Linked DNA regions of Lytechinus pictus. The protein of the gene in region 1 purifies or fractionates together with the protein of each later gene. This does not show direct contact. Links are inferred from orthologs where the notes say so. Each region holds a gene or a part of one and is shown in the gene's direction. Other genes may lie near its edges. The genes, in order: coatomer subunit alpha-like, coatomer subunit delta-like, nudC domain-containing protein 1-like and coatomer subunit beta-like.

Region 1 (7,736 bases):
AATTTACGCTCGCATTATTCGATCAGTGACAGTGCGATATGTTAGTTACTAAAGATTAGTGACAAAAAGTGGTAACAAACAAAACTCATGAGAACTGCGAAAAGGATGCCCTTTAAACAGAAATCAGCGCCAAAAATGATCACAAAGTGAGTTTTACAACTTCAATTTTCATTTTTTGGAACCGCTCGTCGCGGAATAAATAAAGCCTGAAATAAATTCAATCAGAAATCACTTCAAAAAAGGTTTTGCTGATCTAATTCCATGAAACACACAACATCTTCAGGCAGAAACGTAATCTGATGATGAAAATATCAGTTTGCACCCAAATTCACATTTTGACATGAGTATACATGTTATAAAAAGTGTTATTTTGGGCCCATGCACTCTATAAATTCCAAGGATTTAAAATAAATCCAGATCGTCTGTGAATATTAGTGACCAGCCAAATTTTGAATTCAATTTGAATCTTAATTAACTTTTAAATCTCAAAAGGTTTAAATTCAAGTATTTTAGATTTATATTTAAATCAACAAGGTCACATATTCGGCTGGTCAATATATCCCACTATATTCACAGCCGATCTGGATTGGCGAAATAAGAGAGTCCCCCAAAGAAGATGTAGGGCCTATATATACGTTCCGCCGCTGACAAAAAGTGGATCCGAGTTCTAACTCTTTCTTTCTTCTCAATGGGAAAGCTAAAGCGGAAAGAAAACATGAAAAAATGGAAGAAGAAAGAAAATAAAACATTAAGAAAAAAAAAAACCACCATAAAAATGATAAAAAAGAAAGAAATGGAAGTTAAAGAACATAAAACGGAAAAAAGTGAAAAATAAGAAAAAGTTAAGGATATAGGAGAAATAAATAGACAAACGACTTTATTAAGATACTGAAGAAATAGATAGATAAATACATGAATAATTCTTGTATTTGTATTTTTTTTTGTATTTTATTTATTTAATCACGGTTAAAAAGCCTGCTTTCGGCTAGAAGCTGCTTTTCAGCAAGGCCGTGGACAAATGATAATAACATATAATATCAACATAAAACAAGCATACAAAAATAAAAACGAAAAACAAAATATATCAAAGCATGGGTAAAATACAATTGGCAAAAGTAAAATTGGAGTAAACAAAAATGAAAAATAAATAGACGAAAATAATATACAAGGTTATTCTTAACAAATGATGGAAGAAAGAAGGAATTAAAAAAAAACAGGGGGAAAAATAAATCTCAGTTTTCACTAGAGTATGAATTTTGAGATAATTTAATTAGTCTAATACAGTCTAAATAAAATTTAAAAAATCCAACGAGAGAGGGTGCTGCGCACTTTTGTAGTCGCCAATAACGGGAAATTTTAGATTTTCGACCAATTCCTCACCATAGAGATGTATACTAACTACGCTAGAGTGCGGAGTCGCCATAGGCGCGCGTACTTAACGTCTGTGATTGTGTGGAGCGTGGCGGCCATTGCTCGATAGGTATAGATTCGCAAAAGTACCCGGATGTACCCATAGCTCGTGCGTTGTAACGCTGTGAAAAGGGGTGCCGTCTCCGGCCTTTTTCTTGAAGAAAAGAACACAACCTCATAAAAATCGAAAATATGAATGACAAATTGCATCTCAATACACTATTAGAGTGATTACATGGGGATTATGCTATTAATTTGGCATTTTAAAAACCTGATTTCTCGGGATGAAATTCTAAATAATTTGCATTTACCTGTCCGTTTATAGGCCTGTAATAGATAACAATGTTGATATACTATCAAATAAACAATCATATAAAAATAAAAACATACAGCGGACATTAATAGAAAGATTGACAATTAATTCAAAAGACTGCAGTGAATTAGCCCTTCTCTGGATTTCCCTACCTTTAACTGCATCGTCCTCCTTCCATCCTTCCCACATTTACGTCCTTTGATTCTATGTTTATGTTGGATATAATTTTGTAATTTCTATATAGGCCTACATGATATGTAACTTGCTTTAATTTGTATGAAATATAGGCCTATCATTTTTATATATTAAGTTGTACAATAATTCTGTATAAGTTAGTGTTTTGATCTACATGCGCTATTAAAGGGCATCTCATTATTGTTCTTGGTGAGCCTCCCGTTACACCATCAATGTTGAAATTTGTGTTATTTGGTGAACGTGCTGATTTTGTTCTTATAGGAACATAATAAATTCCCCAAAATCTGCAGGCCTATATGGCCCGAAAATAAAATATTGATTTAAAATGTCGAGAATATAGCCTAATTTGTTCAAACTTTTCACAAATGACAGTTTTAATTCCCTTCACTTTAAGTTAGATTTGTTTTAATTCGCTTTTTAGGGGCCGTGTGTGCAATTAAAATAACAAACACACCTAAGCAAATTCGCTTTAACATACTGATCAAAATAAAATACAGGGGGCGCGACCGGACCCCTCCCTGAAATGAAAATGAACATTACACATAATAAATGATTGTGATTTTATGCACCCCATCACTTTCAAAATCATTCCGCGACGCCGTAATTAACATAATATAATAATTTTGTTCATCCATGGAAATCTTATTTAAAAAAAACTGATCGAATAACCAAACTCAGGTCCATAGGCCAGCAAATGACATTAAAGGAAGAAAACTAGAAAATCAAATTCAGTTATACTTTTAAAATGAAAAACAAAACTGGATATTCAAAACGCGTGTTTATCTGTTTATATGTTAGGCCGGTGCCAGTGCTTACAAATATTTGCCATAAAGTTCATTTATTCAAGCGACACAGACACAGTTAATTAGCACAATTTCAAGGCAGGTATCAAATTTGAGATTAAATTTGGATTTTTAATATCTTATTCCAAGTATTGTCACTTTTGCAATATTATTGTTTCATAATTATGTTTGGTTTTAGTACTCACAATTTTGCAACCGTTTTCATAATTATGATAAGTTTGCATTGATGTCTTTCATGATATTAGTTTTATACACTCTTGCAGTAGTAATAATATTCTTTATAGTATAATAAAAATTATATATCATAATCCCGCCCCTTTCCTTCTCTCCTTCTCCCCCTTCTTCCTCTCCTTATTATTCTATCCTTGATTTGTTCACATGATATTGGTCCAATCATTATAGGATCAGAAACAACGGCGATAAACAAAATATTTCAGCCAGTTTGCCGATCAGCATATTTTCAGCCGGGGAGAATCAAGTCTATACTTTCCAGAAAATCAAAGTAAAATTGTTTTGCGCATTGTGATTTGTTTACTCTCCGAAGTTTTAAAATGTTTGCAAGGCAATAACACTGTACATAAACATCCAACCCCCCATTAGGCCTCCTGTACATTGCAAAATTGTACGACTGCATGCGCGCATTTTGCTGTCAACAAACTTTTCTATACATTGATCGCAAGTAAGAAAGTATACTTTTATATACATATTTATAAATATGATGGGATGGTTGCCAGCAAAGGAAATCTAAATCATCAATTTTTAACTGAATCAATGCGTAAATCATTTCCAAATATCAATAAAAAGTCATTTTATGATTCGCGAGTTTTTGTGATGTTGGTTTACATCAGCGTGTAAGACATGGGGAAAAGGGATCGAGTTATTATAGGCCCTATTGTGTAGATATATATGGAAAATAAATTATAACAATTATCTAAAGTGAAGAAATAAATTATCAGCAATCAGCATAATAGTAATTAGGAAACTATGAACTATAAAAATACAATCGTGTTTTTTTTTTCGATACAGCGTCTCAGATGCATCACTGTGATATGGCCTATGAATTTTCTTAGGTTAATGTACATCAAATCATATTAAAACACATTAAATTTATTTATCAGGACCTAGGCCTAAATGTTATTTTTGATATTCATCTCTTCCAAATCATTAGAAAATAGAAGTCATATTAATGTATCAAAATTTTACCTAAGCAAAAACAATTGGGACTTTAAATCGTTTGCCTGTATTATAGCTGTATCGGCCTATATTATGCGCTATAGATAGGCCTATATAGGCCTTTTGACCTCAGTTTTGCTAGATTTTTGTTGTATTTGAACTTTAATCCAGTGCAATATTTACAATTTTGCTTTTCCATATGCTTTCGTGCTCATATGTCATCAATTTGTCATGTTCTGTGCTCATCCGTGTACATGCCCCATAGGTACTGTACGCGCATGGATATGGCAGGCTGCGAATACCTATCGAGCAATGGCGGACGGTCTCCACGTAATCACAGCGATTTGACGAAGTACGCCCTCTAGCGTTACTAGTATACATCTCTATGTTCCTCACTAATTGAACAGAAGAATATCAAGAGAAAACGGCTGTACGAAAGACTATCAAACATAAGCTGAAAGTGACGTGGCTGCATCTTCGTGGAATTGTCAGGAGAAAAGGAAGAAAATTACATTACTTTTTTGATGATTTGACAGCAGTATCATGCTTACAAAATTTGAGACGAAATCTGCAAGGGTGAAAGGTATGCAAGAAAATTAATAATCACATATTTGACTTTGCAATTTTGGGTGGAATTCGGTGTTGTGACAGCACCGCCAATGTCCGCAACTGATTCTTTGCAATGTCGGGTTTGGGACTGCCGATGTGCCGTGCCATGGCCCATTACCCCGGCCGCGCTTCCCCCGCTTGCTGCCGTCGTGTTTCGTACCGGGAGAGCTGAAATCCAGACATTAAATTGTGTGCCGTGGTTTCACCTTCATTATTTTGCAAAGTTGGGAAGATAAAGATAATACGAAAATTGTATTTCCTTAATAATAGTTGAAATACCGTATACTATATGATTTTTGAGAATTTCTCAATCTTCTTTTTTTCCCTTTCATTCAGTGACAGAAGTTCAGTCAAACGCAAACTCAAATTTTTATTTCAATTTTTAGAAAAAATACAATGTCATGATTTGGTTTTTCAATGTTACTGTATTCGTAGTAAGACTTATAACCCTTAAAATAATAATAATAATTTTATTGTTAAGCATTTCACCTTTTATCCGTTTTCTTACTTTGTTCGTATAAAAGTCAAATTTTATTAGATTGATTCACACAATCAGAGATTTGATAAATTGATGTGAAGCCTGGCCCTGGGTCACATGTTTTAGATGGTGATGTACATAGGTTAGTCCCAGATTAGATTTTCTTCAGTTTGTCATTGTGTTTGAACTCTGTCATTTTCACATACAGTGTCGTCCTTGTGAGGGTCCCATCCCCATCTCTCTGCCTTCTCCCATTAATCCTCGGTTCTTTTTTCCTTTATTACCTTATTAGTATTACTGGATGTACTGGAAAAATGCAGAAAGCTGCAGCCAAGTTTCCAGGTCTAGCTTTCGTCCAAGTTTAATCTTCTTCCACAAGTAATATGTGTGACTGTGAGTGTCCAGTGTACATGGTGCGTTTGCAATCATTTCTGTCAAATCAAATCAAATCATTCCCAAGGGTGACTGTACCATTCTTTATTCCAGAACTTATCAAGCCTGGAATTTACAGATGGAGTAGAGACAACCTCATTTGGTAGCGAGTTCCAGTCACGCACTATTCTGGCTCCGAAGGCATTTGCTCTTACATCCAGTCTATTTCTTTTCTTGAAGAGTTTATATGGGTGACCTCGGGTTGCCTCAACATTAATTGACGAGAAGAACATATCCTTTGTCAAGCCAGTCGATTCCATGCACTATTTTATAAGTCTGGATCATGTCACCTCTTCTCATTCTGTATTGCAGGGATGGTAGATTTAGGGCTCGAAGTCTGTCTCCATAGTCTAGCATTGCCAAGGATGGTATGAGTTTTGTTGCTCTTCTTTGTACTTTCTCAATCTCTTTCTTTCTTCCTCCAGGCTTGTGCTTTCACCCCAACCGACCATGGATCCTTGCCAGCTTGCACAATGGAAACATCCAGCTGTGGGACTACCGTATGTGCACTCTCTTGGAGAAGTTTGATGAACACGATGGTAAGTGTCATTTGCAGGGGTGAAGGTCAAGTCCAACCAAGAAAAGAATAACATGTACGTCATCCCGTTGACTACTAAATTCTGAGATTTCCGTAGTCTTTGTACATGTATCATCTGGGTCCCGTAACACAAAGGTTAGCGATTAATCGTACGATTGATTTTCACGATTGATTGTACATTGTAGTCAATGGAATCAATCGTAGAAAAATGTTCTACGATCATTGCTAAGTTTGTGTTATACTTATAGGCCCCAGGTTCCAGTAGGCAATGGGTTAATAAAAGAGAAGCCTCTCAGGGTCTCAGAAATCCTCATTTTCTTGGGAAAGTAGTTTCCAGACAGGGATGTACATGTACATGTAGTTCAGGCTGGTTTTTTTTTACAGTTATAACTTCCCATAGATGTTGTACATGTGACTTGGACCAAGGCCAAGTCCAGCAAAATGTTGCCTTGACTCAATACCTGTTTCCAAATATACAGGACCTACATGTATATGGACAAATTATGAATATTTTCTTGGATTGTGTAATCAGATGTCTAGAATAAACAAAATCACAGAGAAAAATGTGAGCCATTGTGAGCTCCCCAGTTTTTTAAAAAGAAGTCTAGGGGTGTGTTTATGCTTCCATTGCGGGTACAGAATCAACGTTTTCAAATGTCGTTTCAGATCGCCGATCACAAACTTAGTACTCGGAGTGCTGCTTATGCTTAATTTTTCAGAGGCAAAATTGCAATATACAGCCCTAAATCAACAGACATTCCAGAAAATGTTCTTTCAGAATTAAAAAAATTTTTACTTTTCTTTCAGGTCCTGTTAGAGGGATCAGTTTCCACCAACAGCAGCCCCTGTTTGTTTCTGGAGGCGATGACTACAAGATCAAGGTCTGGAACTATAAACTCAAAAGATGTCTCTTCACTCTCCTTGGACATCTGGATTACATCAGGACAACCTTCTTCCATCATGTAAGGAGATTAGTTCCAATATTATATAATAATAATAATAATAATAATAATAATGATAATAATAATAATAATAATGATAATGATAATGATAATGATAAATATGATAATAATAATAATAATAATAGTTATTTATATAGAGCCATCTATCTAGAAATATTCTATTCCAAGGCGTGTTATTATTATTATTACCCCGGTTTTAGCTCGAGCTGCCTTTCAGCTATGATCTTGTATTTCATATTACATGCATGACCAATTTTCCTTATGACATGTATGAGGGGTCTTGTGGGAGGGGTCTTGTGGGTCAATCAACTTACTTATCCCTATCAAGGCCTATAGCAAGCACCTTGAGATAGAATTGAATTATGTAGAAAAAAAATATTTAAATGAACAATGATGAATCCCATGCACAGGGAAGATTAATATTGTGTCTTCAAACATCTGTGCATTATTTTGCATCCAATGATCAAATCAGGTCAGATCAAATTGATCCCCTTCCCTCCATTACAACTTGTTCTGAAACATGGTATTTACTCATAAGGTCATATCTACCCCTCATGCTCTCTATTAAATATAATTTTACCACAACAATTTCATGATTTCTGTTTTTGGTGCTCTTTTTTTTTTTTTAAGGAATATCCTTGGATCTTGAGTGCATCTGATGACCAGACTATTAGGATTTGGAATTGGCAGTCAAGGAACTGTGTCTGGTGAGTTAACCGATTGACGACTGAATTCTTTAATTGCCATAGGCTTTGTACAGAGACCACCTCGTTCTAGTGTGCAATGGGTTAATCTGTTGACTACAGTGTACTTGAGTTATGTA
Region 2 (8,618 bases), about 29 Mb from region 1:
CATGGTTACTGAGACAACAAAAAAAGACCAGGAATGAAATAAATTATTAGAAGAGTGTACATCACATGGCTGAACTTAAAACTTTTTTATGGAGGGGGGAAACAAGACACCTAAAATTTTTGAAAGGAGCTCAAAAGCATTGTAAGCGTAAATTGACAAAGCTCATTATGGCACATTTGAAGTATTTCATGCAAATTTTTTGTGAATTTTGCAAAAATTTTCAGTAAAAATTTTAAGTTATCAAAATTTCTGGTTGAAGGGGGAACTGCATCCCCCCTCCTTGCCCTTCACTGCCTACAGCCACAAAATGTTACTTTGATCACTCCCTTAACTGTTTTGCAAACAATAAGCAGAATTTCTATCATAACTTTCATATTACATTGTAAGTCTTAGTAAACTGAATTACATGTAGGATATGATTTGACCTGTACAAAAAAACATCTGTTTTTCTTTTCAGAAGAAGACCCTACACTAGAAATCCTGGATCCACCAATGATGTAAATGCATTTAAATCATCAAACTGCTTTTCTGCATTCATAGATATTCAAAGCCCCTTCTCAATGCTAAATTGGTTTTCTGGTGTACCCTTGTCATCTCGCTCAATCACCATCATCATTATCCTCCTCCTCCCCCTCCTCATATTATATGTTTAGAATGGCAGCTTTGGCAATATTTCTTTTTGGGTTGTAGTAGCTACATTGTAGCTCTTCAACATTTGAAGAAAAAAAATCCAGAGCTTCTCATGAAAATAGCGTTAACTTAAATCCAAATTCTGTGACAATGCCAGGTTCATCATCATCAGTTAGTTCTTATTTATTCATAAAAATCTAATTGAAATCATCACTATAATGAGAGGAAGAGAAAAAAAAACTGATCAAAATCATTTCAAACAATTATATGGATTATTCACCATTGATAGTAATGTTAAATGTAAATAACAATTATTTAGTGACTTCATTTTAACAAAAAATAAGTATTTATTCGTCATTGAAAGAAATAATAATGGGTTGCAATTCACAAGTTGGGTTTTTGTTTTTTCTAATGCAAAAAGGGTGGCGAATGAACAATTTTCAATTGTAGAACAATTGTAGCAACATCACAGCCCCATGGCCAAATTTGTTGCATACAGTCTCATTTTTCAACTCAATATCAATAATAATATGGTCATGAAAAACTTGGATTGTCTTGGCATTAACCCCTCAAAATCTGAGGAAAAAACACAATTTTTTTTATTTACCAATCTTGAATTCCACATCTGGATGAACTTTCTGCAACAGTTCCACAACATGATTGGTTTGTATCATGGCCAACTGAAAAAAAAGTAATAGATAAGAAATGAACCCCTTATCACTCATCAGTTTCTTCTCAGCTTTTTGATTTAGAATAATTTTGCAATGGGAACTTAGGATGCAATTTTGGAACCATGTGATTGAACTCAAATTATTTTTTAATAAAATTAAGTAAAAGTGATTTCAAGAAAAACAATACGTGACTATATAATATATAGTCACGTAATGTTTTTCTTGAAGGGTATGCGGCAATTGCGATGCAAAGAAAAATGGTTGGTTAATATAAAATAATTTTATGATATTCATAATTTCCACAATATTTTGGAATAGCACGTGCGAATTTTTCCAGAATGTATTTCCTCTAACAAGTTAGTTGTCATTTTTGAATTAAAGCACAGTGAAATAAAGATGTCCGGCAATGTCAATGATAATTGATATATAATAAAAAAAAATATATCATCACAAAACTACGCTGTGTCTAGATCCAGGTCCAGGCCAGGGCCAGGCTTACCAGGCCCAGGGGTGCCGGTGTACCGGCGGATCCTGCGCCTGGCAGATACTGTTCTAGGCACCAAATCCGCCGGCGGATATGGTTCTCCTCCGGCGGATTCAGTACCAAAAAAGGCCACTCCCTTCAGAAGATTCGGAAGATATCGTTCTTGCGCTATCGCGATATCCTTCATTCATCACGTTCACACGTCATGCATGCACGCGCACCGCGCGTGAATAACGTTGCGAAATGAAGTTCGAAGAAGAGGTGGGTTAGCCTTAGTCTAATTGAGAGCCAGCTACCTTTCGGATTCTAGTTACATTAGGCCTTGAAGAGGAAAGCCTCAACATTTTGCCTTTATTCTGATGATTAGGGACAGAGTCAGACTCAGACTGACGTTAATCAGAGATTAAGTTTGCACAAAGAAGAATCTAACTTTGAGCTATTTTTTGGCATTATATTCAGTAAATAAAATCATATTCTACACTTTTCCTTTGCTTTTCTTTCCTCCTTTCTTTTTGTTCTTGTTTGTAGAACTTTTTGGGACCATAGCCCAACCCTTCCATACGCAGTGCTGTGCGGTTGGGGTCCGGAATTTCTTGATATCAAAGCCATTTAAACCTCGCAGATTGCCGCTATTTTAATCAAATCGCGGGCATGTACAGGATATAGCTTTTACACAACACATTTATTCAACCCAGTTGCGTAATGAACCAAATATTTTGAGGGGCAAAACATAGTAATGTGGGAAAAATCTGTAAAAAGTCGCAAAGCGATCGAGCTGGAAAAAAAAGCCTTTTGAAATTAAATTCTAATTATATAATTGATTTTTCCATTAGATTCAGCAACTAACAAATTTCATTGTTTCCATTCATTTCATTATACCTTGTCTCCTTTAATTTATTTTATTTCTCTTGGGTGTGGAACCAAGACCCCCCCCCCCCCCCCCCGGCGCATGTGCAGTAATTGAACGTGATTGTGAACGGGAAGCGTTATAGAGCAATTTGAGGTTCAGTATAAATGAAGAGCCCCTACTGTGTGGGGTCTGGGGCAAAGCCCCGGTAGCTTATTTACATAAAATTTGGCTAGCTTATAGCACAATGTTATATGCAGTCCATCTTTCTTCCCGCTCTTTAATTTCAATCATCGGAAGCCCGGTCGTGTTATTTTTTTTTTCTTGTCCCTTTTCTTTGTTTTCCAAAAATTAGCTTTTGACTAATTGCATTTTACCTTCGTTTCGCGCTATTGTTTGCCATTTTGTCATCTTTTAATTTATTTCCCATCGTGCTATTGCATTACATATGCCTGTTTTGGAATGATTTGTTCTTTCTCAAATGTTCATTTTCCCGATTTCCTTCCTTTTCCATTAAAAAGGGTTTTTTTCTTCGTTTTCTTTTCACTTTTTCCTTTCCTTTTCCCCTCATTCCCCTTTCCCTTTCTTTCTCCCTCCTTTTTTTTCCTTTCCCGTTTTTCTTTTATTCCTGGTTAAATCCGACAGGGGGCAACTCCCCCCCCCCCCCCGCCTGTTACGTCATGAATATCCATTAGGTGGACTGATGATGTCACATCTCCACTTGTTCTTTTGTAATTTATTATATGAAATTAGGTTTATTCAAATTTTTTCCTCCAAGAACTAGAAAATTTGGATTGACAACTGATTTAGTGCATTAGATATTTATTGCTGCAACTTATTTCATTATAAGGGAGACATATTATTCACACAAGTATGAAATAAATGAAAAAAATATGGTTTTGTGTGATAACATAAGAAAACGGAAAATGGGGATGTGACATCATCAGCCCAACTAATGAATATTCATGATGACTGTTTTCACAAAATATTGCTTAACTTTAAACTTCAATAACTTTATTATTTGTTATCCGATCTTGATGAAATTTTCTGCATTTTGCTCAGTGAATTCTACTCTATGTATTAAGATATAAATATTTTCAGCCCGGACCATCCCTTTAATTCAGATTCCTTAACAAAAATATTGAAAAAAAAGGAATAAAAAAAAAACAAATTAAAAATAGGCCTACAATAAACTACATAAGATATTAATCATGTTTTGAAATTCTTTTTTTTTAAATGTTTTCACAAAAAATCAGCACTCTACAAGCAATAATATGAGTTAACAGCAATATATATTCATAAACTAATTTGCCTCATTTATTTTGAAATTATGAAGTTTTAACTCGTTGAAAATCTGTAGTTTTATAAAAACTATAGGCCTATATGGGGGTACAAATTTTCGCCAGTCTGGCAAACTTACACTAATCATGGTGTGAAAAAGCACAGTTAAAGATTTCGATGCATACTGCGGACTTAAAGTAGTATAAATTTTCACGTAGGGCCTACAAAACAAAATGATGAAAATTTCATCAAAATCTGATAATAATAAATAGCAAAGTTTTGGCGCATGTGCCAGGTCTATGTATACATGATATATCGAGTCATTGTTTCTCCTATTCCCTCACCCCCATCGAGCCCTTCGTCAAAAGCTTTATGGATCCGGCCCTGAATAAAAATTCACTAAAAGTCTAAAGGCGGACGAAAATCCCCTCCCCCCATTGGTAACGACATTGCCAGAGCCGCGCATGCGCGCGCTGCCGAGGTTGGACGTCTGTCCAAATAAATATTACACGTATCGTCAATAGAACCAAATCTGCAAACTTCAAGCCGCGTCAAACCCGGCGGATATGGTTCCGATTAAAAACGATATCGGCCATTAAGAACGATATCTGCCGGCGGATACGGTATCCGCCGGTGGAACCGAATCCGCCGCTACACCGGCCAGGAGTGGGCGTGTCACCTCATCGGCGCGGCATCGCTGAGCTGCGCTGTCAATTGTCAAGACAAGAGGAAGAAATTCGATAAACACAATACACAACCAAACACGTATGGGACCGAACAAAAATCCTTCGGTTCCCCAGAGGCATTTACCTCGCTCTTTCTCGAGCCTATGCGAATAACTTCCACTTGACTAGCCATACTTTCGAAAAGACGACGATGCTTATTATCACTATGAGAAACTCCCAATCTCCGTGAACCGAAGTCTTCTAGTAAAATTAAAACTACGTTTTCGGACCGTCTGCGTCACTGCTCTGTACTGCTAGCTGCTCGCGAAAGACTTTAACTACACGTGAAATGCAAATGACCTTCAACCCGGAAGTTGAGCCCATTATATGTGTACAATTTTAGAGCAAAAATATAGTGCTGTGTATTGGTTGAAATTATATTTTGTACAATTGAAACACATGAAAACCTTCATTCAAATAAATTTTACAAGATTTAGGGATAATTCAATCAGTGAAAGTGATTACTGTTCTCTTGAATGAGAAAGAAAAGTCCACAATTAAAAAATATTCTTCCGCCACGGGCGTTATCCGTCTCAAACTCCACATCACACGGACGTGGCCCGTCTTAATCTTACGACTGTGTAGCGAAAATCCTGAGAAAATCCCACAGAAGACAGTGAAATTGCCGTTTTATTCGAAGAGCATACTGAATAAGAAGATGGTATGATATTGTTAGCTATAATTTCATTAGTAGTAAATAAATGGTGTTTATCGTTTATTGAAATGTCTCTTACAAGCTAAATAATCAAGCCTTGATAACTTTTTTAAATTAAAAATCTTGCTGACAAAAAAAGTGACAGACACAGTGTGAGTGCAGTGCAGTGAATAAGTGATCAGTGGTGTTGTTGGGGGAAATAATAAGATGGCAAATATAGCGATCTTCAACGCTTATATATAAGCGTCGAAATTTGTAGCCATCTCCTTGTATTAGTCTATAATATACGACGTGTCAAATTGTAGCGAACTAGTTCGCCATTTCCAGATCTCCTCTATATATATATATACGAGGGGGAATTGTAGCGAACTAGTTCGCTATTTTCCAGATCTCCTCTATATACAAACGACGGGAAATTGTAGCGAACTAGTTCGCTATTTTTCGGATCTCCTCGATATATACACAAGGGGAATTGTAGCGAACTAGTTCGCTATTTTCCAGATCTCCTCTATATATACACCAGGGATTTGTAGCGAACTAGTTCGCTATTTTTCGGATCTCCTCGATATGTACACGAGGGGGAATTGTAGCGAACTAGTTCGCTATTTTTTTATTTTTCCAGATCTCCTCTATATACATACGACGGGATTTGTAGCGAACTATATACGAGGGGGCATTGTAGCGAACTAGTTCGCTATTTTTTTTGATCTCCTCTATATATACACCAGGGGGGGAATTGTAGCAAACTAGTTCGCTATTTTTCGGATCTCCTCTACATGTATACGACAGGAAATTGTTGCAAACTAGTTCGCCATTTCTCATCTCCTCTCTAAAATATAAACATGGCAAACTGTAGCGAACTAGTTGGCAATTTTTCTGATCTCTTCATATACACGAGGGGGAAATTGTAGCGAACTAGTTGTCATTTTTTTCCAAAGCTTACATTATTGTGAAGGCTTCAAAGTGAAAATCTGCAGGTTTTGGCTGTATATATTGATGCCATATTGTCAAATTGTAGCAGACTAGTTCGCTATTTTCCAGATCTCCTCTATATATATATACGAGGGGGAATTGTAGCGAACCAGTTCGCTATTTTCCAGATCTCCTCTATATCCATACGACGGGATTTGTAGCTAACTAGTTCGCTACTTTTCGGATCTCCTCTATAAAATTATATACACGAGGGGGAATTGTAGCGAACTAGTTCGCTACAATTCCGTCTCTTGTATATATAAAGATTAGAAAAATAGCGAACTAGTTCACTAATTCCTCCTCGTGTATAAAATTTTATAGAGGAGATCCGAAAAATAGCGAACTAGTTCGCTACAATTCCCCCTCGTGTATATATCGAGGAGATCCGAAAAATAGCGAACTAGTTCGCTACAATTTTCTGTCGTATATAGAGGAGATCCGAAAAATAGCGAACTAGTTCGCTACAAAAGAAGAGATCCGAAAAATAGCGAACTAGTTCGCTACAATTTCCCGTCGTATATATATATAGAGGAGATCTGGAAAATAGCGAACTAGTTCGCTACAATTTCCCGTCGTATATATATATATAGAGGAAATCCGAAAAATAGCGAACTAGTTCGCTACAAATCCCGTAGTATGTATCTAGAGGAGATCTGGAAAATAGCGAACTAGTTCGCTACAATTCCCCCTCGTGTATATATATCGAGGAGATCCGAAAAATAGCGAACTAGTTCGCTACAATTTCCCGTCGTTTGTATATAGAGGAGATCTAGAAAATAGCGAACTAGTTCGCTACAATTTCCCGTCGTTTGTATATAGAGGAGATCTGGAAAATAGCGAACTAGTTTGCTACAATTCCCCCTCGTGTATATATCGAGGAGATCCGAAAAATAGCGAACTAGTTCGCTACAATTTTCTGTCGTATATAGAGGAGATCCGAAAAATAGCGAACTAGTTCGCTACAAAAGAAGAGATCCGAAAAATAGCGAACTAGTTCGCTACAATTTCCCGTCGTATATATATATAGAGGAGATCTGGAAAATAGCGAACTAGTTCGCTACAATTTCCCGTCGTATATATATATATAGAGGAAATCCGAAAAATAGCGAACTAGTTCGCTACAAATCCCGTAGTATGTATCTAGAGGAGATCTGGAAAATAGCGAACTAGTTCGCTACAATTCCCCCTCGTGTATATATATCGAGGAGATCCGAAAAATAGCGAACTAGTTCGCTACAATTTCCCGTCGTTTGTATATAGAGGAGATCTAGAAAATAGCGAACTAGTTCGCTACAATTCCCCCTCGTATATATATATATAGAGGAGATCTGGAAAATAGCGAACTAGTTCGCTACAATTCCCCCTCGTATATATATATATAGAGGAGATCTGGAAATAGCGAACTAGTTCGCTACAATTTGACACGTCGTATATTATAGACTAATACAAGGAGATGGCTACAAATTTCGACGCTTATATATAAGCGTTGAAGATCGCTATATTTGCCATCTATAAAATACCGTGTTGTTGGGGCACCTATTGTTTTGCCTTGACGGTGTTTACGTGTTAATGTGTTAGGAGCCTTAGTTATAGGAGGTAAGTTTTTACATGAGCACAACAGATTAACACCAAATGATGCCCACCAAACATGTTGAAGTTGATAAGTCCCGAAATGTCACTCGGTTATGTCGGTGTTGAGGCCACTTGAGTTGTCAATATTTTTTCTAACGTTGTCGTTGTTTTAACTCGGTCATGATCGACTCATGTCATTGTCCGTCAAAATAGGTTTTGGACATGTTGGTAGTACTAGTAGGATAGGATTCAGATATGATCTAGTTTGTGCTTCCAAGTTCCAGGCTAAACACCAGATCACTTGAACAGCAGAGCCAGAGGCGCTGTGCTGGTCAGAAAGACAGAAAATTAGGATCGTCCCAGTTAATTACATGATACAGGGACTGTCTCAGAGACTCAGTTTTCAATTATTTCTCCCTGCAACAAATCTAGGAAAGTTCATTCACCTGTCAAGTGCAGACACCACTCAAGTTAGACAGCTGGCAGCCGTCTGTTTCGAGGAGTTTTTAAACATTTTTTATTTTTTTTATTTCTCGTATACAGATGCAGACGGCTGGTAAAAGTGCAGCCGCCATTAGGGGGTTTGCAATACAACCCCCCCTGGCAGGAATTTTAGCTAATAATAAAACATTTAGACAAGTACTGCACCTATAGCAAGATTATCATTCCGTTTTAGCCTAAAATGCACCAAACGGGGAAAAAAAACTTTAAAGAACAAAAACAGTGACTTTGGCTGTTGCACAACTCCCACTTCCCTGATTTATCCGAACTTAATACATAA
Region 3 (8,049 bases), on another chromosome or scaffold:
ATTCAGATATATCATTAATACAAATTAAGAACAGGATGGGGGCCAGAACACTGCCCTGCGGTACTCCAATAGAAAGCTTTTTTAATATTAGATAATTTTCCTTTGGAAAATACAGCTTGCTTTTTATCATTTAAATAGTTTTTTTTTACCAAGTGAGCATATTATTGATAATTCCATATTTTTCGAGTTTGAATAGAAGAAGTCCATGATCTACACAATCAAAACATTTTGAGATGTCTAGAAAGCATGCAGCAACCATTTCTTTCATATTTATAAGCATCATAGAAATCATCTAAGACACGATGTAGGCACGTTATTGTTGAATGGTTCGGAAGAAATGCGTATTGATCAACATTAATCATGTCATGCTTTTGGAGGTAGGATAGATTGTATTTCCTTTTCTATGATTTTGGGGATGTGACTACCGACTGAGATTGGTCGGTAATTCGATTTTTCGTCTTTTGAACCCTTACCTTTGAAAATCGGTGTCGTACGTGCAATTTTCCAGTCAGCAGGAACAAATCCCCGTATCTAAACTAGTGTTAAAGATGTCACATAAGGATAGGGCAATAAATGGGGCAGCTAATTTCAATGATTTTGTATCAAGTCAAGGGTATCTAAGTTACTATTTGATATATTAACTGATGTATCCTATTTATAATTACAAAGTGCTTTTTCAGGCCATAATATCATCAGATTTCGCGCCCTCATTATAGGCATTAATGAATAAGATATTAATTTAATAATTAAATTGTCCCTTTTGTTTCATCTCGCGCTTAGCAAGAGGAATAGGAAGATAGTCATCATTTTCATATGCGTGTCCTAAGGATGTCCCGGTCCTATATGTTAAAACTCAAAGTAATAGTAATGAAAAATAAAATAAAAATCAGCTCCTTATTAAGTGCGATCCATATCCACCTCACAATTTTCCTACAAAGTGCTTAAAATATTGAGCTGAAATTGACTCTTTTTTTCAGATCGGAATATCACATAGTTTAAACTCGCGCTTCGCGCTCGCTTTGAATTTTATGATAAAAGATGTAATTAGGATGCCTAGATTCTAGGTCTAAATATATGAAACACGCGCGCGCATGTTTATTCAGATGATCAACTTGTTCTCTATTTAAATCATTATCCAGTTTCAGATCACAATATCAAAAATTCTCTGCTCGCGCTTTGTGCTCGTATTATTAATGTAGGAAGATTCCCTATTACTCACTCTTTTCATGATTTACAAAACATGAATATAGTGTCCCGTTTTTAAGTCTAAATCTCGATTTTTTCCGCTCGCGCTTCGCGCTCGCATCAATTGTTTAGTTATACTTATCCTGTTCACGATTAAAAAATTTGATTAAAATTTTACATTCTTTATGTAAATGTCCAAATATTTCAGCACGCTCGCATTATTTGATTGTTATAATATGTAACGTCTTCATGGCTAAGTTGCAAGCAGTCCTCAACAGGTACCTTTTCGATCAGTTCAAAACGTATACAAAAATGTTCTGCTCGCGCTCTGCACTCGCATTAATGTAACGAAGATCCCCAATTAATCATCCTTTTCATGATTTACAAAACTTGAATAGAGTGTCTCGTTCAGTAGGTCTAAATCTCGAAATTTTGCGCTCGCGCTTCGCATCGATTGTTTAGTTATATACCTATCTGTTTAAATTACAAAAAGTGCTTAGAATTTTCATTCCTTAGGTAAAAATGTCAAAAAATTTCACCTCGCGCTTCGCGCTCGCATTATTTGATTTTTAAAATATGTAACGTCTTCATGGCTAACTGCAAGCAGTCTTTAACAAGTATCTTTTCCATCAGTTCATTTCTGCTCACGCTTCACGTTTGTAGTAATTATTCATTTACATACACATCTTTTTCAGGATAGCAAACATTGCCCAGAATTTTCAAAATTTTAGGAAAAATACATAATATTTCTAAAGAAATTTAGCTCGCGCTTCGCGCTCGCATTATATAAATAAGGATTATGATATTATATATTTATGTTTATTCATAACAGTAAAATTTTATTTTATAGGTCTATACTTTATCGTTGATATGATATAAACTCAAACATTTTCATGCCAAAATGATTTCAATTAGTGAGTGATGAAAGGATTTATGTTGGACAGTTCATAAAGTAGAACAGCACTTCATCACATACATACACTAGCGTACCTACGGGGGGGCAGGGGGGGCACTCTGCCCCCCCTGACGAGCCACAACCCATACAAAAGACATATACCTGCCCCCCCTTTTTTTTTTTTTTTTTGCTTGTCAATTTTTTTCTGGTACGATGACCTTCATTTTTTAATTGAAGACCTTTTTTTTTTTTTTTTTTTTGCTTGTCAATTTTTTTCTGGTACGATGACCTTCATTTTTTTTAATTGAAGACCTTTTTTTTTTTTTTTTTTTTTTTTTTTTTTTTTGCTTGTCAAATTTTTTGCGGCCGATTTTGCCCCCCCTGTGGAAAATCCTAGGTACGCCACTGCATACATACCAAACGAATTGTAATGTAAACACCAATGTGCGCTACCATAATAACACACTGAAATAGACAAGTTCAGGATTTCTTTGAGCCACTTGCAAAACTTGGATAACAGAAAAATAAAACGTTCTGTAATAAAAGTAATTTCTTCATATTTCAACATCACAATGGATCCGAATGGATATTGATATGATACATATATAGTTTAATGTAAATTATATAATAATAGCAACTAGCGTTCAGGTTTTCAGAGCAATACCGCATTGCAGCTAGTCCAAGTGGATGTAAGGTTCCTAAACTAGTTTCTATGGTAACGGTTACCGCATGAATTTTTAAATGTGTATAGCGAATCAGGGATTTAAATTTATAGGTGTTTCTTAGGTACCATTCTATCAACCTGTTTTGAAGGGGAAATTCACCCTGACAAATGGTTTACTGTTAGATTAGCAGAAAAATATATTGGTGAAGGTTTGCGGAAAACCAATCAAAGATTAAGAAAGTTATTAGAAGTTTGAGTTTTTGATTTGTGACGACATATACTAGCAGCTTCACCGTATTTTATGCACCAAAAATGTATACTTTTCAATTTTTAATCAGTGGTTCATGATTGCTAAAATATCTTTCAGGAGCGGATGTGAAATGATTTGTATGTTGATATACTTAAGGTACAGTGAAAACCAATTTCCTTTTTTTTAGAAAATGACATTTCATTCATATTTTTTTATTACACCATATGTGGGAAAAACTGCTCGCAAATGACGTGAACTTTAAAATGTAAAGTTCTAATAGCTTTTAAAATCTTTGATGGATTCCCTAAAACCCTCATCAATATCATTTTAATTATTTTCTGCTATTTCTACAATAAACTATATGTCAGTGTGAATTCCCCCTTTAATGAATAAAGTACAATACTTGGGATCCAAAGTGTGCTTCAAAATTGAATATTAGAAGAGCGATTTGACATGAGAAGGCCGTGCATGTAAGTTCCGGGGGAAAAAAGAAATACCAACTCAAGTGTTATCAATTTGGTGCAGAAGATCTACAGTATGGTTTAAAAATGTTACCCTTTCCATTAGTCCAACATTATAATTCCAATTTTCTTCTCAGACCTTTTCTTATTTAATCTACTGTACATAGAGGGGCTTTTTTATTTTTTGGCATGGGGGTTTAAGACTGGCCATTTATACCTCTTTCATTTTTACCTCAGCTATTTTTGCCTCTGCCATTATTACCTCTGCCATTATTACCGCTGCCATATATTCCTCTCACATTTTTTATCTCTGTCATTTTTACCTCTGCCATTCTTACCTTTGCCATTTTCACCTCTGCCATTTTCACCTCTGCCATTTTTACCTCTGCCATTTTTACCTCTGCCATTTTTACCTCTGCCATTTTTACCTGTGCCATTTTTACCTCTGCCATTTTTGCGTGAATGAGAAATAATCTAAGTAATTTCAGATGAAAGAGGAGATTCTAAGCTTTACAATGGTAGGTCATTTGTCTATTGTATTTGTGATTGTGAGATAGTCATCATTTTCATATGCGTGTCCTAAGGATGTCCCGGTCCTATATGTTAAAACTCAAAGTAATAGTAATGAAAAATATCAGCTCCTTATTAAGTGCGATCCATATCCACCTCTGCCATTTTTACCTCTGCCATTTTTACCTCTGCCATTTTTACCTGTGCCATTTTTACCTCTGCCATTTTTGCGTGAATGAGAAATAATCTAAGTAATTTCAGATGAAAGAGGAGATTCTAAGCTTTACAATGGTAGGTCATTTGTCTATTGTATTTGTGATTAAGTTATGATAAATCATCGATAAATCTCGGTTTCGTTTTTTGTGGGACGCACTGTATATATAGTCATAAAAAAATGTCTGTTGAATATAATCCAGTGATTCCAGTCAATTATGTCATTCAGGGGCGAAAAGGAAAATTTAATGAAAAAAAGAAGATAAACGAGAATTGCACAGATTAAAAGAGTGTTAATTATGTCACAAAGTCACAATTAATTTATAGGGGGCTGTGCTCTAGCTGCATATGTCGATATCGTTCGTCCACTGCCCTCCCTGGATTGACACTGCCCCCTTTCCTCTCCATTTCTCTGCTCCTCTTCACATTCTTTCTCATCACCTCTCCCTACTTCTACTTCTCTTGTTCCTCTCACCTTACTGCGCCAACCCCCCCCCCCCCCCTCCTCCGAACACTCATCGATCGAGGGCCGCCAATTAACTGCATGTCCCCGAGCTGTCTTTTATCTCACTCTCCCTACTTTTCCTTCTTTTACTCTTTCATTTCCCCACTGTTTCTTCCCCTCCCTCCCCTTTTAATTTGCTTGTTTTTTTTTTTGTTTTTTTTTTTTGGGGGGGGAGGCTTGGCCCCCATGACATCTCCACTGCCACGTCATGATGATTGACGTGTTTTTCCAGAATTCCGAACATTGATGAGCGTTCCATAATCGTGAAGTACGAGTGGCGCGCGTACCGTGCGTGGTTTACGCACACGGCCGGTATGTATGCTTGCCTGGTACGGTAGATGTCACGGATCGAAATGGCGGCTGCTTGTTCAGAAGTTCTTCGCGTGAATAGAGACCTTCTTGATAGCCAGTTTGATGGCTACAAATTATCTCTCGACCCACTACCAATTTATTCTATTTCCGTCAAGTCTGGTGAGTTCAGTTTGTTTTATACAAGTTGGCAAGTGCGAGGCTTAGCAAGCCCTTGTCCCATGCATTCATTTTTGCGTCGCTATGATTTAAGTCGTAATTAGGCGAAAGTGCGGACCGATCAGCTGGGCGTACATAAATTGCATTGCAGTGAATAGCGAGCGCGTATCATTCACACACTTTATTTCGCTCCAAATCCAATTGTCCAGTCAGTCCGCAGCCCGTCCGAAAGTGCTCTATTTTATTCAGCGGTATGCATAGCCGTCCGTGGTTATGCATACGTAATGAGCTGTGAAGACGAACTTTCCGATCGGTGTTTTTTGCTCTTAGAATCGTTTATTCCTCACATAATTGGTCTTATTTTATAGATAAAACTTTGAAATTTCTGATCAGCTAAATAAAATGCACATTTAATGTATTTTCAAGACCGATATTTAGCTTAGAAAAAATGAGTTTTTTTAAGAAATATATGTGAATAAACAGAGCGCATTTTTGCATCGAAATCATACTTGCGTCAAATTGATATTATAATCAATATAAAGCGTAGACATTCTTATTTACGACTGAAAAAAAATTATGAAATTTCATGATGTAGCAAAGTCAGGAACCACAAAAAACCACGGCAATGTCCATCGCGAAATGATTGGAATTGTAGTAGAATTGCCGACGCGTTCTGATTGGTCAACAGCGGCGCACAGACTTACAACATTATATATATCTTAAAAAACCCGGAAGTAATACGGAAGAGATCGATGGCGAATTGCGTGAGCGCTATGTTTTGACGTGTGCAAGGACCCTGGTTCGAACCCACCAAATTGAGTTTTTTTTTTTTTTTTTTTTGAGGGGGGGGGGGGGGTTGATGGGGATATGTTTATGCTTTTTCTTTAAATCGTATTCCTTCATCGTTCCTACCCAGCTTTATTCTCTTTTTACTTTCATATGAAGTTCTATTTAGGCCTGTATTTATTAAATCATGGAGCTATTATTAATAGCTCTATGATTAATTCTTACTTCTTCTTAATCACTGCTTTTGATTTTCAAGTTCTTGATTACACTTATTTGGGCAGGGGTGGGAAGGGAAGTGAGTTAAAGGTCAAGTGCACATCAACAAAAAAGTATTTGAATAAATAAAGAAATTTCCCTGTTTTTACACAAAACAGTTATATACACAAAACAATGGTATGCAAATAGAGTTGATTATGTCACTCACATCAAATTACTTTTTAAATTTTTGTTGCATTTTTATTATATAAATTTTAGCAAATTTGATGTAAAAAATCTTTCTCGAATCACAATAGGTTACATTTATGGAAACTACGAATGTTAATGGAGGAATTAAAATCCCTCTCAAAATTTGTTAATGAAAATTAAAATAAAATATACATGTCATGTACATGTATCAAACAAAAAAATACACAAGAAATTAGAGTGCGTGTGACATAATCGGTTCTGTAATTTGCACATTGACCAAGATGAGCATATAATTGTTTTATAAAATTAGGCAAATTTCTCAATGTCAAAATAGTAATTTTTTGAATTTTGAATCATAGTTTTTATAAAATTCTCTGCAATACTTTATTTTTCTTTAAATTCAAATTATTTTTTTGGTGGGGTGGACTTCTCCTTTACTCTTTGCTTGGAATAGGGAATGCACATTAATATTTATCCACGAACAAAATTGTCTAAACATATGCAAATCAGTAATTGGACACATGCTCACTTTCCTTTCATCCAGGCCACCCCCTCACATCCACCAGGTTTACAGTCTTATAACAAAAATTATGAATTAATTATAATACCATCACACCATAGCTCCATGATCACACAACATTCATACAGTGCTTCACAACAAATATTTCACTATTGTTCATATAATTACTGTGGAAAACAAAAACAAGGCGTAACCACATTCAAATACCATATAAAAGGACAAATATATTATACCTTTCGAAAAAAAAAAATTGTGAACATACATGGCACTTAACCTTCAGCACATTAGATAACATATAACAGAGTTGCTTGAGAACAAAATATAATTATGGGGCATTGCAAGAAACTTATGTTCAATTGCAAATCAACTACATGTTTGTGTTTAATCAAAGGACTTACCCTTAATTTTGGAATGTGTGATTGAGTAGAAAGTTTCTTGCAATGCATCAAAAATGTTCTTTGGTTTTGAATTGTGAATTTTTATTTTTGTCAAGCTGTATTCCTGTCCAAGTCAGTATTCTTAGTCCTCCCCAAAACTGTGCTCTAATTTTTTTGTTTCCAATATCGATAAAGATCAATTTTCTGTTGTATCATTATCAGTCCAAAATTTGCAAACGAAAAAAGGGCTTTGTCCAAATCATGGTCTGACCATTATAGTACATGATGGAATCTCCCAGAATGAAGTAGCAAGCAGAGACCAGAGTCAGAAAGTATGCAGATCTGTGTGTAGAAGAGACAAAAAAGAGAGAAATAGTCTAAATTATTCAAAGTATGAATTATGTTACATGTAAGTCAATTAAGAGACTAACTAAGTACTGTCTGTGACAGACACAATTTTTTTATTTGAACAAAATGGTTTATAAATACTACTGAGTACGGTAGTACCAGACTTTTTACTTTGACTTTAAACTGTTTATAGTCTCTAGAGTAGACTGTCTGAGCTAATCATCATTTAATTCTTAACCGCAGCCTGGGGCAAAAATCATCATGGGGCTCATCTTCGACTAATTAAGAAAAAAGGTTAACAATTTTCAACATAAATCAAGAAATATCTCAATCTATAAAAACTTGATGGAATTCGGAAACCTGATAATCATTTGAATAAAACTTTAGAAGGGATCTACTTATTAAGCTTCGTTTATATTAAGTCTTAATAAAAAAAAAAAACAAGTCCACCGTCCACAGTCA
Region 4 (8,528 bases), on another chromosome or scaffold:
ATCTGCAGAAAATGTACCATTGCAGGTCACATCACAATACTATTCATTTGGCTTTTAAATAACTGCAGCTGCACTATATGAATAGGGCCTACTGTCGAAATGCACACTTATGAGAATTTGCTTTTTACTTTCTTTATTTTCATAGACTGACGTTGTAAAAATTTGATTGTTCATATTTTTGCTAACTTCGGAGGCGTTGTACAACACAAATAGTAAGTATTCTTAATCATGCATCGGTGAAACAAAGAGACAATCTATTCATCCAGAGCAGCTTTCTTTCACCTTATGTGAAATCACACTGTAATAGCTATTCGCTATTCATATACTGATAAATCTGTGATAGTACATGTAAGTCCCCAGGATATGATCTGACCAATTCAGTGATGTTTTTGACAACCACATGGCGCTGGGTATTTAAATGCAAGCAATTTTAGCCAGACTTTGATACTTGTGAAACACCCCAAGGCTATGACTGGTCCATGACAAATTAAAATACCCTCAGCTCATCTGAGTTTATTAAAAACTTGCGACTTTTGTGACTTTCTTACCTTTTAGATGGTATAGTTTCCTCAACTGAACTCCTCCGAGCAACACGTCGACCTTTACGCGTTCTATTCTTGACAGCAGGGGTCTTCGGTAGGAGTATGGCATCATCCCTATAGTTGGAAGCAAGAAGTTAAAAGCATTGATTAAACTATGATTTTGACTCAAATTTAAAAAACCTGCAAATATCAATTTGTCACCTGTGGTTTGTTGTAAATACAAAGCCCCCCAAAAAAATATTGTTAATGAAAATCGTTATTCAGTCATTCAGTGCACTTCAAAAAGTAACAGGAAAAACCTCCACCAGGGGCCCGTTGCAGAAAGAGTTGCGATCATCAAATGCAACTCAAAATATCTTGCGCTAATTGATTTTCAGCCAATTAAGCACCCATATTCGGGACTTGCGCTTGATATTTTGACTTGCGTTTAAAGTTAAACACAACTCTTTCTGCAAAATGCCCCAGAAAATCGAGTACGTTTATTTGAAACATGTGCATTCAGAATCATCAGACACACCCTCTCCTAAAGGACAATTATATTCAGTCATGGTGAGGTGAACCATTGAAAAGTTATGACATCAGGTGGGTGTTTCATAAAGCTGTTCGTAAGATACGAATGACTTTAAGATCGACTGGTGATCCTTTCTTGTGCTATGTGATATCTCTATGTAATTGATTATGACCTATTAAAGAGAAATTCCAGTAGTTGCAGTAAACACTGATTTCATGAGAAAGTCTGTAAAACCAGGCTTAATTGTCAGTATATCATCGAGGATCTAGATCTGGTACAGTTACATAAACTGAACTTTGTGAAATCTTGAAATCTACGCTGAAAAATGTTCAGACTGAACTTCCCCAACACAGATAAGTGCACGTGGGACAGTGTATAATTATTGCTTTGAGCGTCGGGCCCGACGCTCTACCCGAATCCTGTGCTTATTTGCTGATTTCTCAGCAATTACACAATTTCTTCCAGAATCCTTTGGCACATGCGTTTTATTTATACAAACAGATACTTTGGTGGTCATTTCATTGGATTCTGTACGAACTCATTTTGATATCGTTACCAAAACTAGCATTTACCTTAAAGAACATGTTTCAGTCGTGCATAAAGTCGTTCGTAACTTTACGAACATCTTTATGAAACATCCACCAGGTGGGTATTTCGTAAAGCTGTTCGTAAGTTAAGAGCGACTTTAAGAACGACTGGTTCATTGGCGATGGTTTGACACGTAAGAAAGGTTCACCAGTCATTCTTGAAGTCGCTCAACTAAATTACTCTTAACTTATGAACAGCTTTATGAAACGGCCCCTAGGTGGGTGTTTCATAAAAAAAGCTGTTCGTAAGATAAGAGTGACTGGTGATCCTTTCTTTTGGTAAATGGTATACACCATTGGCGATGGTTTAGCACGTAAGAAAGGTTCACCAGTCGTTCTTAAAGTCGCTCTTAACTTACGAACAGCTTTACGAAATGGCCCCCTGGACCGGCTGCTCACATACATGCATTTGTCAGGTTGTGAATTCAAAACTTTATAACATCACAAGTTCACAACTCTCATTCGCGTGTAGATATCAATCATTCTCTGGCAGATATTCGGCAAGCTTTCATCAATTCTTTTCTGTGTTTTTTTTTTCTTTTATCATACATCACCTATATCATCATTTAGAGTGAGATGAGATTACACTGAAACCACGATCAAGGAGAATCGCCTACCTTCCAAAGTTCTCCTTGGCAGTTATCAACACCTCTTCTAGATACTTCATGTGCTTGGATTCAAACTCGTGGAGGAATTGCCGGATGTGTGCCTCTGCATCATGGTATATATTGAACCCCAGGAGGGGTTGATCACCAGCCATTGTTGTAGTTTAATTATTATTCTGATGGACTAACCTGTGGGGGAAAAACAAATCATTACCATTTTGGGGTAATTCCAAGCAAGTCAAATCAAATCAAACCAATTTAATTATTGACTCCAAATGTGCCCATTTGATTAATTGATAGTCTATGGCAAAAGCTGACATTTTCACTGTAAGCAGTTTGCCTTTAATACGGATCTACAAGTACAAATGCATTTTGTTCGATACCATCCACCATTTGTCTCATCCACCAGCGCTAACATCTAGCCACCTAACTAGCCAACAAAACAATTTGAATTACTTAGCAGTTTTTCTACCTTTGACTTTGAGTTCTCAACACCAAGTGTCTACCGAGGAGATAGACCAAAAGCTTCGGTCTCTTTTATGTTGGTTGTTCCGCTGAACTCTGTTGGCTCCACTCACCAAATACAGAGACCGAAGTTCTAGCTTGATCTGTACAGGGACTCAATGGCCATATGTTAATGTATTAAGTTCGGATAAAACAGGGATTGAAGTTGCGCGACAGCTGAAGTAAGTCACTGTTTTTTCCCCTTTTAAGTTTATTTTTCCCCGTTTTGGTGCATTTCAGGCTATAAAGGCATGATAATCTTTATTTTGGTACAGTTCTTTTTATATATTTTTATGAAATAAAGACAAAAATTGATGAGCCCCGTCGGGGGAATTTTGCATTGTTAACCCCCTAATGGTGGCTGCACGATAGCGAGTCGTCTGTGTACGAGGAGAAATTTAAAAAAAAAAATGTTTAAAAACTCCTCGAAACAGACGGCTGCCAGCTGTCTACCGAGGAGACTACTAATGTAGGGCGTGAAACAGGCCCAAAATGAACAACAACAACATCCACAACGAGCTTTTGACCTCAATGAGACAAAAATTCTTTGTTTTGCACCCAACTTAAAGGACGATACGCGCGGGGGAGTAGGCGCAGTGTCCATATGAACAAGAATCGATTTACGAGAGAAAAAGGGGGAAAAGATACAAATTTAGTAAGAATTCATCAAAATTGTTTTGACTAGACCCGAACCCCGCCGAAAAACGGTTGTTCATACGGGGCAAGAAATCCGATAGGAAACGGCTTTAGAACAAATGTCCGTCGTCAATCGTCGAATCATGTGCCGGAGCTCGCAGTGGAAGTACATATGACAAACGATTCATCAATGATATAATGTTGTGAAACCTCTGTACTTGTCATCTCATAAAGAAAACACCTAACCTTGTGATAGACTCTATAAAAGTGAGAATAAAAGTGAAATAAGTACTAAAGTAATGAGGGAGTTGTACGTGTGTGATATCACAGATCTTGGTCGCATTGCCGATGAGAGGATCTACATGGCACTAGTGATCTCAATATTCAAATGCTCATAACTTTCTTATTATTCATTCAATCTTCCTCAAACTTTCAACAATATGTTTCTTTGATTTTTCTCTTTGATATGGATTCAGCTAGTTTCAAGGGTTTCATTCTCCTTTAAATGATTTTTACTCTCTAGAAGCCGCCTGGCTACTTTTGACCTCAGTGAGACAAAATTTTGGGTGGAAAAAATCATGCTTTTGTTGGTGTTGTTTCATTTGTCCTTTTGCAAAGCAAGTCTCCAATGTGGGAGATTGTCTCCCCTATTGGAGAGAGTCTCCCATATTGGCCGTGCGCCTCTACTGATGTAGTGAGACGATCAGTCGATCACTATACTATTTAGCATTTTGATATCAGACTCAGAGAACTGATTTGGATGAGTCAAAATATTTCGCCACTGTGACAAGAATCGGCCGTAAAGTGTATCGGGGGCGGTCGGTTTCAAAAGAAGGGTGCAAATGAGCAAATGTAAACTAAAATCGTCACATTCGTTGTTCGCCGATATATACGCGAATAGAATCGTTCAATCGGAGTCGTCGATCGAAGCATGGGAATCTGATCTGCTCAATTTTCTGCACAAATTAGACAAAATGTAGGTAAAACTGATAAATATTTTCGCAGATACGATGCTTAGGAAATTAGGTGGTCGATAAATTAAGGGGTAGGTCCAACCATTAAATCTGTATATTTAATCATGTCAAACGTATTGTATTTTAACTTAAGACATCATCATGGAGTCCTCAAACTAACAAGTAACTTATGTCTCCCTCCCTTCTGGTCTGGAGAGCTATATTAATAATTTATTATAAAAAAAGACATGATTAAGTCAAGTGATTAAATTACGGTCAATAATGAATATGACTAATCATTCTAATGACATGTGATACAAGTCTATACTATAGTCATGATAGTACAGTTAAATTATCAATTATCTGCTCAACAAAGTTAATCATAATATATATGAGTCTACTCATATTTTCTGAGGTCAAAACCAGATTTCAACACTGAAAATAAATTGAAATCACCCTTTGGCATTGATGTAAACACGCCAGTCGCCACACACACATTCCATTGTTAATGAATGGACACACAACACCGACGATTCAGTCAGCTCAGTCAGTCAGTGACTGAACACTGCACAACACCGAATGAAATTTCTTCGTCATTGAAGTACATCTTACAAGGAAAATTATAATCATGGGTATTCATATTTTTAAGACATCGAATTTTATAAATTTGTAATAATATACTCACCGTATGATATTACAACATCGAAAAACAATGGGCATAACTCGATGTTTCACCGTACACTTGCATGACTCGACTTGCCGCGCGTGTGATGAATACGTTTCAAATCTAGTTGCGGAAAGAGAGCCAATCATAAGCCACGAAGTAAGTACGTCATATGCACACACTATATCGCGATCACCGTAGATGGCGCTGAAACGCCACGTTGGAATTTACCGATTGGAGATAAAACTGTGCGAGGAAAGGTTGTGAAGATCTACAAAAGAGTGATTTTGATTTACATTTTCGGGTAATGAGAGGATTGATGCTCATCATACATAATTTGTATTTATTTATGTATCACTTTTAAACATTTCTAGTCTATATCTTTAGCATGTTATACCATAAAAATTGTGATCATTTACCACTTGATTCACTTAACCCGGGCCTAGGTAGACTCGTAGGCAAGGGGGTAGTATTGCCTAATGCGTGCGATTTAGCATGCACGCGATTGAATGGCGGAAAACCATAATTCCATGATGCATACACTTGAAATGCACACGAGCCAAATCACTGACCCTTTTGTGCAATGCTGCAATCTTTATTTTAATGGTGGTCGCCTATTTTTTAAAGATTTTTTATATATTTATTCCAATGGCCTTTTGAAATTTTCTCCTGTGACTGGGAGTGTATGTGGACTATTTGCAGCTTAATGGCAATGTTTTATGAGATAGATTAGACTTGTCTTTTTGACTTTTGAAAGTTTTGTATTGAATTTGGGTAGGCCTAGGGCCCCTATTTTTCTAGCCCTAGCCCTAGGCCTAAATTCTAAAAAAGTTAGATCTATCCTGTATCCAATTTCAGAGACAGTCTCCAGTTTGGGAGACCAATTTCCTTTGTTTACATTTGCTGCAAAAGGATTACATTGTCATTGGCAGCAAATAAAATGTGATAAGCAGATTCCTCATGAACAATTACCCCTTTTCACCCTCATGAGTCCCGTCTGGCATCTAGTCTACTTTAAAAATTCACCGTCTAATTTGATAAGGATTTTTGTTGTCATACACACACAAAACAAATGGGCTTCTGACTAGCCAGGACTGGCAGGAGTAGCCAGGGGCCTGTTGCATGAAAGGGTCTTTGGTAGAACCATTCTACGTAAGAACGAGATATCGCTCAACTGTTTCACAAAGCCGATTTGGGCGATACGAAGAATGGTCCTTGGAAAGACACCTCCAGACATGTCCTACGTAGGCATGATCTCATTTGCACACCGCCCGCCACCGTCGGCATTGAGAGAAAATGCATTTACGGCAAGCCACACTGACATATCACCTCTAAACATTTTTTTGGTTGCACTCTGATGCATTTTATCTGGGATGGCGCCAAGTTATTTTTTATATGGGGTCTAGTTGTCATCAATTTCAGGTCATCTTTTTGCACGGCAGGACGACCAAAAACGGATGTCATTTTAACTTCTCCGGGGTACATGTATTATTCCCGGGGGTAACTAGGGCCAAATATTTTTTTAAATATGTTTTCTTCTATTCTCCCTCCGTCTTATCCCCACCCCTTTTCTATTAAAAAATAAACTTGAAATACTTGAAATGGGCGGCACTATATCTCTTTAGCCGACCCCTCATGCTTTCTCATTATAGATAAACAACAAATTTCTTTAAAAGAAATTATGTAAGGTAAAAAACGTGTTCAATAACATTCAGCAAAAAAAAACAAGACAAACTAAACTAAGATGTTAAACATGCTAAATCATTTATTTATTTTTATTTTATTTTCATTATAATTATTGTTTTTTTGCTGAGATTTATTTTAATCAATGAAAATTAATTGTTGGATTTGAAACAGTGAAACAAAACAAAAAACCTGCAGCTAATATTGAATTTAAGATACAGATCAAGCCTATAGCTTACGAATCCATCACAACCATTACAAATGAAGATAAGTTCATTAAAGAAAAGATTATGGAAAGTCCATACGAAGAGGCGCATTTTAAATCTTAGGGTAGGCCCCTTTCGGCCCTTATGTCATAGCATATAATCTCTATACTCCTTAACTTTGAAATTTTGAACATATATATTTTTATGTTATTTCTTAAACCTTATATTCTTATATAAACTTCCATAAATTAAGTGATCATCTTTAAATATGACCAGCGTTTATGATCGTTGTCATATTTAGCATTATTTCTGTAAAAGTATTTTTTCCATTGCGAATTGATTCACACCTTTTTCAATGTTTTAATTATTATTGCAAAGTACTATATACTTTATCCACTTGGACATGTTTGCAGCAATTTTCATATTTTCATTTTCTTCTGTTACTCATCATGCAACTGAGGTATGTTTATACTCTAAACACTCACATTTGTATTTCTTGCGTTATATCTGACAAATAAAATAAATAAATTAGATTTTTCACACGCAGCCTCTCATATTTTCCTTTTTAGTCTCATACAATCAGACACTGTTGATTTTGTTTACTCCATTTAAACCCTATATTTACCTCAACAAATAACATATTAACGCATAATTTATAAAATTATCATTATATACAAGTATTCTATAAAAATACAGAATATTGAACTAATAAATGTCGAAATTACTTAGTTAAATCAATTTTTATGTCGGACAAGGGTCTCTTTCGTTGAAATATCAATAAAAGGTGTCTCTAAAAAGACACCGTGTTCTAAATAAGGGAAATAATGAAAATTTCGATTTTATTTAGTTATGTTTGTGAATCTTTAAAGTTTTTTCTCTTTTAACCTCATAAAGTAAGCTCCATACATCAATTCTACTATCAGTAATAAATAAAACATTATTTTATCTCCTTTTATTGAAATATCGGATTTTATGTAAAGTCGTCATTCAGAAATAAAAGGTTCAGGTGACGATGAAGACTAAATATTTTTCCGATACTATCGATATCAAACGATGTCGCGGACTTGGAAGACAAAATTGCCTTCGTGAAACGGAAAGCGCTGATTTGTCGCCAATCTTCCTATCTCGGAAGAATGGTCCTAGGACGTTCCTACGTATCGCTCATCTCGTCATGCAACAGGCCCCAGGAGGCTTCTAAGTTAGAGAGTAAAAATCATTTACTAACGTAGGCTTACTCTCAATGAAGCCAGGTCTTCCTTCTCATTCACCTACACGAAGGACCCCAAAAAACCTGAAACTTTCACCCCCGAGATTTCTACTTTCCTTCAGATCTAGCCCTAAAATCATGTACTAGGGAGTGATGTACATGGGATTAAACTTCATTTCCGACATTTCTACGCTCTCGTTATTTTTAAACAAGAATTCATCAAAAAAAATGAGAAAAATATTGTGAAAAGACGGAAGAGACTTGCCCAATGTTTACGCCGCCATCTTGTTTCCTATTGTTCTTCGCCAACGTTACAGACGCGTGCGTTGCGCAACCAGTGAAACAAAAATTCAAGTAAAATACATTCAACAAACATTTTTAACATGTATGTAACGCCAGGCAAGATAAAAGAAATAAGAGTGGTATTGGG

Evidence for each region.
Region 2: the proteins of coatomer subunit alpha-like (region 1) and coatomer subunit delta-like fractionate together in Homo sapiens (co-fractionation; 4 studies listed by BioGRID and IntAct, with this or other methods). This does not show direct contact. The link is inferred for Lytechinus pictus from reciprocal best matches to the Homo sapiens genes COPA and ARCN1.
Region 3: the proteins of coatomer subunit alpha-like (region 1) and nudC domain-containing protein 1-like purify together in Homo sapiens (co-immunoprecipitation; 3 studies listed by BioGRID and IntAct, with this or other methods). This does not show direct contact. The link is inferred for Lytechinus pictus from reciprocal best matches to the Homo sapiens genes COPA and NUDCD1.
Region 4: the proteins of coatomer subunit alpha-like (region 1) and coatomer subunit beta-like fractionate together in Homo sapiens (co-fractionation; 6 studies listed by BioGRID and IntAct, with this or other methods). This does not show direct contact. The link is inferred for Lytechinus pictus from reciprocal best matches to the Homo sapiens genes COPA and COPB1.

What each region holds. Positions count from the first base shown.
Region 1 is NC_087252.1:3,709,291-3,717,026, reverse strand, and holds the start of coatomer subunit alpha-like, read left to right. Parts: upstream 1-4,307; 5' UTR 4,308-4,437; coding exon 4,438-4,477; intron 4,478-5,838; coding exon 5,839-5,952; intron 5,953-6,758; coding exon 6,759-6,913; intron 6,914-7,543; coding exon 7,544-7,620; intron 7,621-7,736. UniProt on the Homo sapiens protein: The coatomer is a cytosolic protein complex that binds to dilysine motifs and reversibly associates with Golgi non-clathrin-coated vesicles, which further mediate biosynthetic protein transport from the ER, via the Golgi up to the trans Golgi network.
Region 2 is NC_087252.1:32,345,018-32,353,635, forward strand, and holds the start of coatomer subunit delta-like, read left to right. Parts: upstream 1-5,186; 5' UTR 5,187-5,296; coding exon 5,297-5,299; intron 5,300-8,618. Other genes in the region: porphobilinogen deaminase-like, read right to left, coding at 1-8, 1,238-1,310, 4,724-4,771. UniProt on the Homo sapiens protein: Component of the coatomer, a cytosolic protein complex that binds to dilysine motifs and reversibly associates with Golgi non-clathrin-coated vesicles, which further mediate biosynthetic protein transport from the ER, via the Golgi up to the trans Golgi network.
Region 3 is NC_087246.1:46,603,555-46,611,603, reverse strand, and holds the start of nudC domain-containing protein 1-like, read left to right. Parts: upstream 1-4,942; 5' UTR 4,943-5,021; coding exon 5,022-5,154; intron 5,155-8,049.
Region 4 is NC_087263.1:10,345,142-10,353,669, forward strand, and holds the start of coatomer subunit beta-like, read left to right. Parts: upstream 1-5,198; 5' UTR 5,199-5,306; intron 5,307-8,528. Other genes in the region: inner centromere protein A-like, read right to left, coding at 549-656, 2,258-2,400. UniProt on the Homo sapiens protein: The coatomer is a cytosolic protein complex that binds to dilysine motifs and reversibly associates with Golgi non-clathrin-coated vesicles, which further mediate biosynthetic protein transport from the ER, via the Golgi up to the trans Golgi network.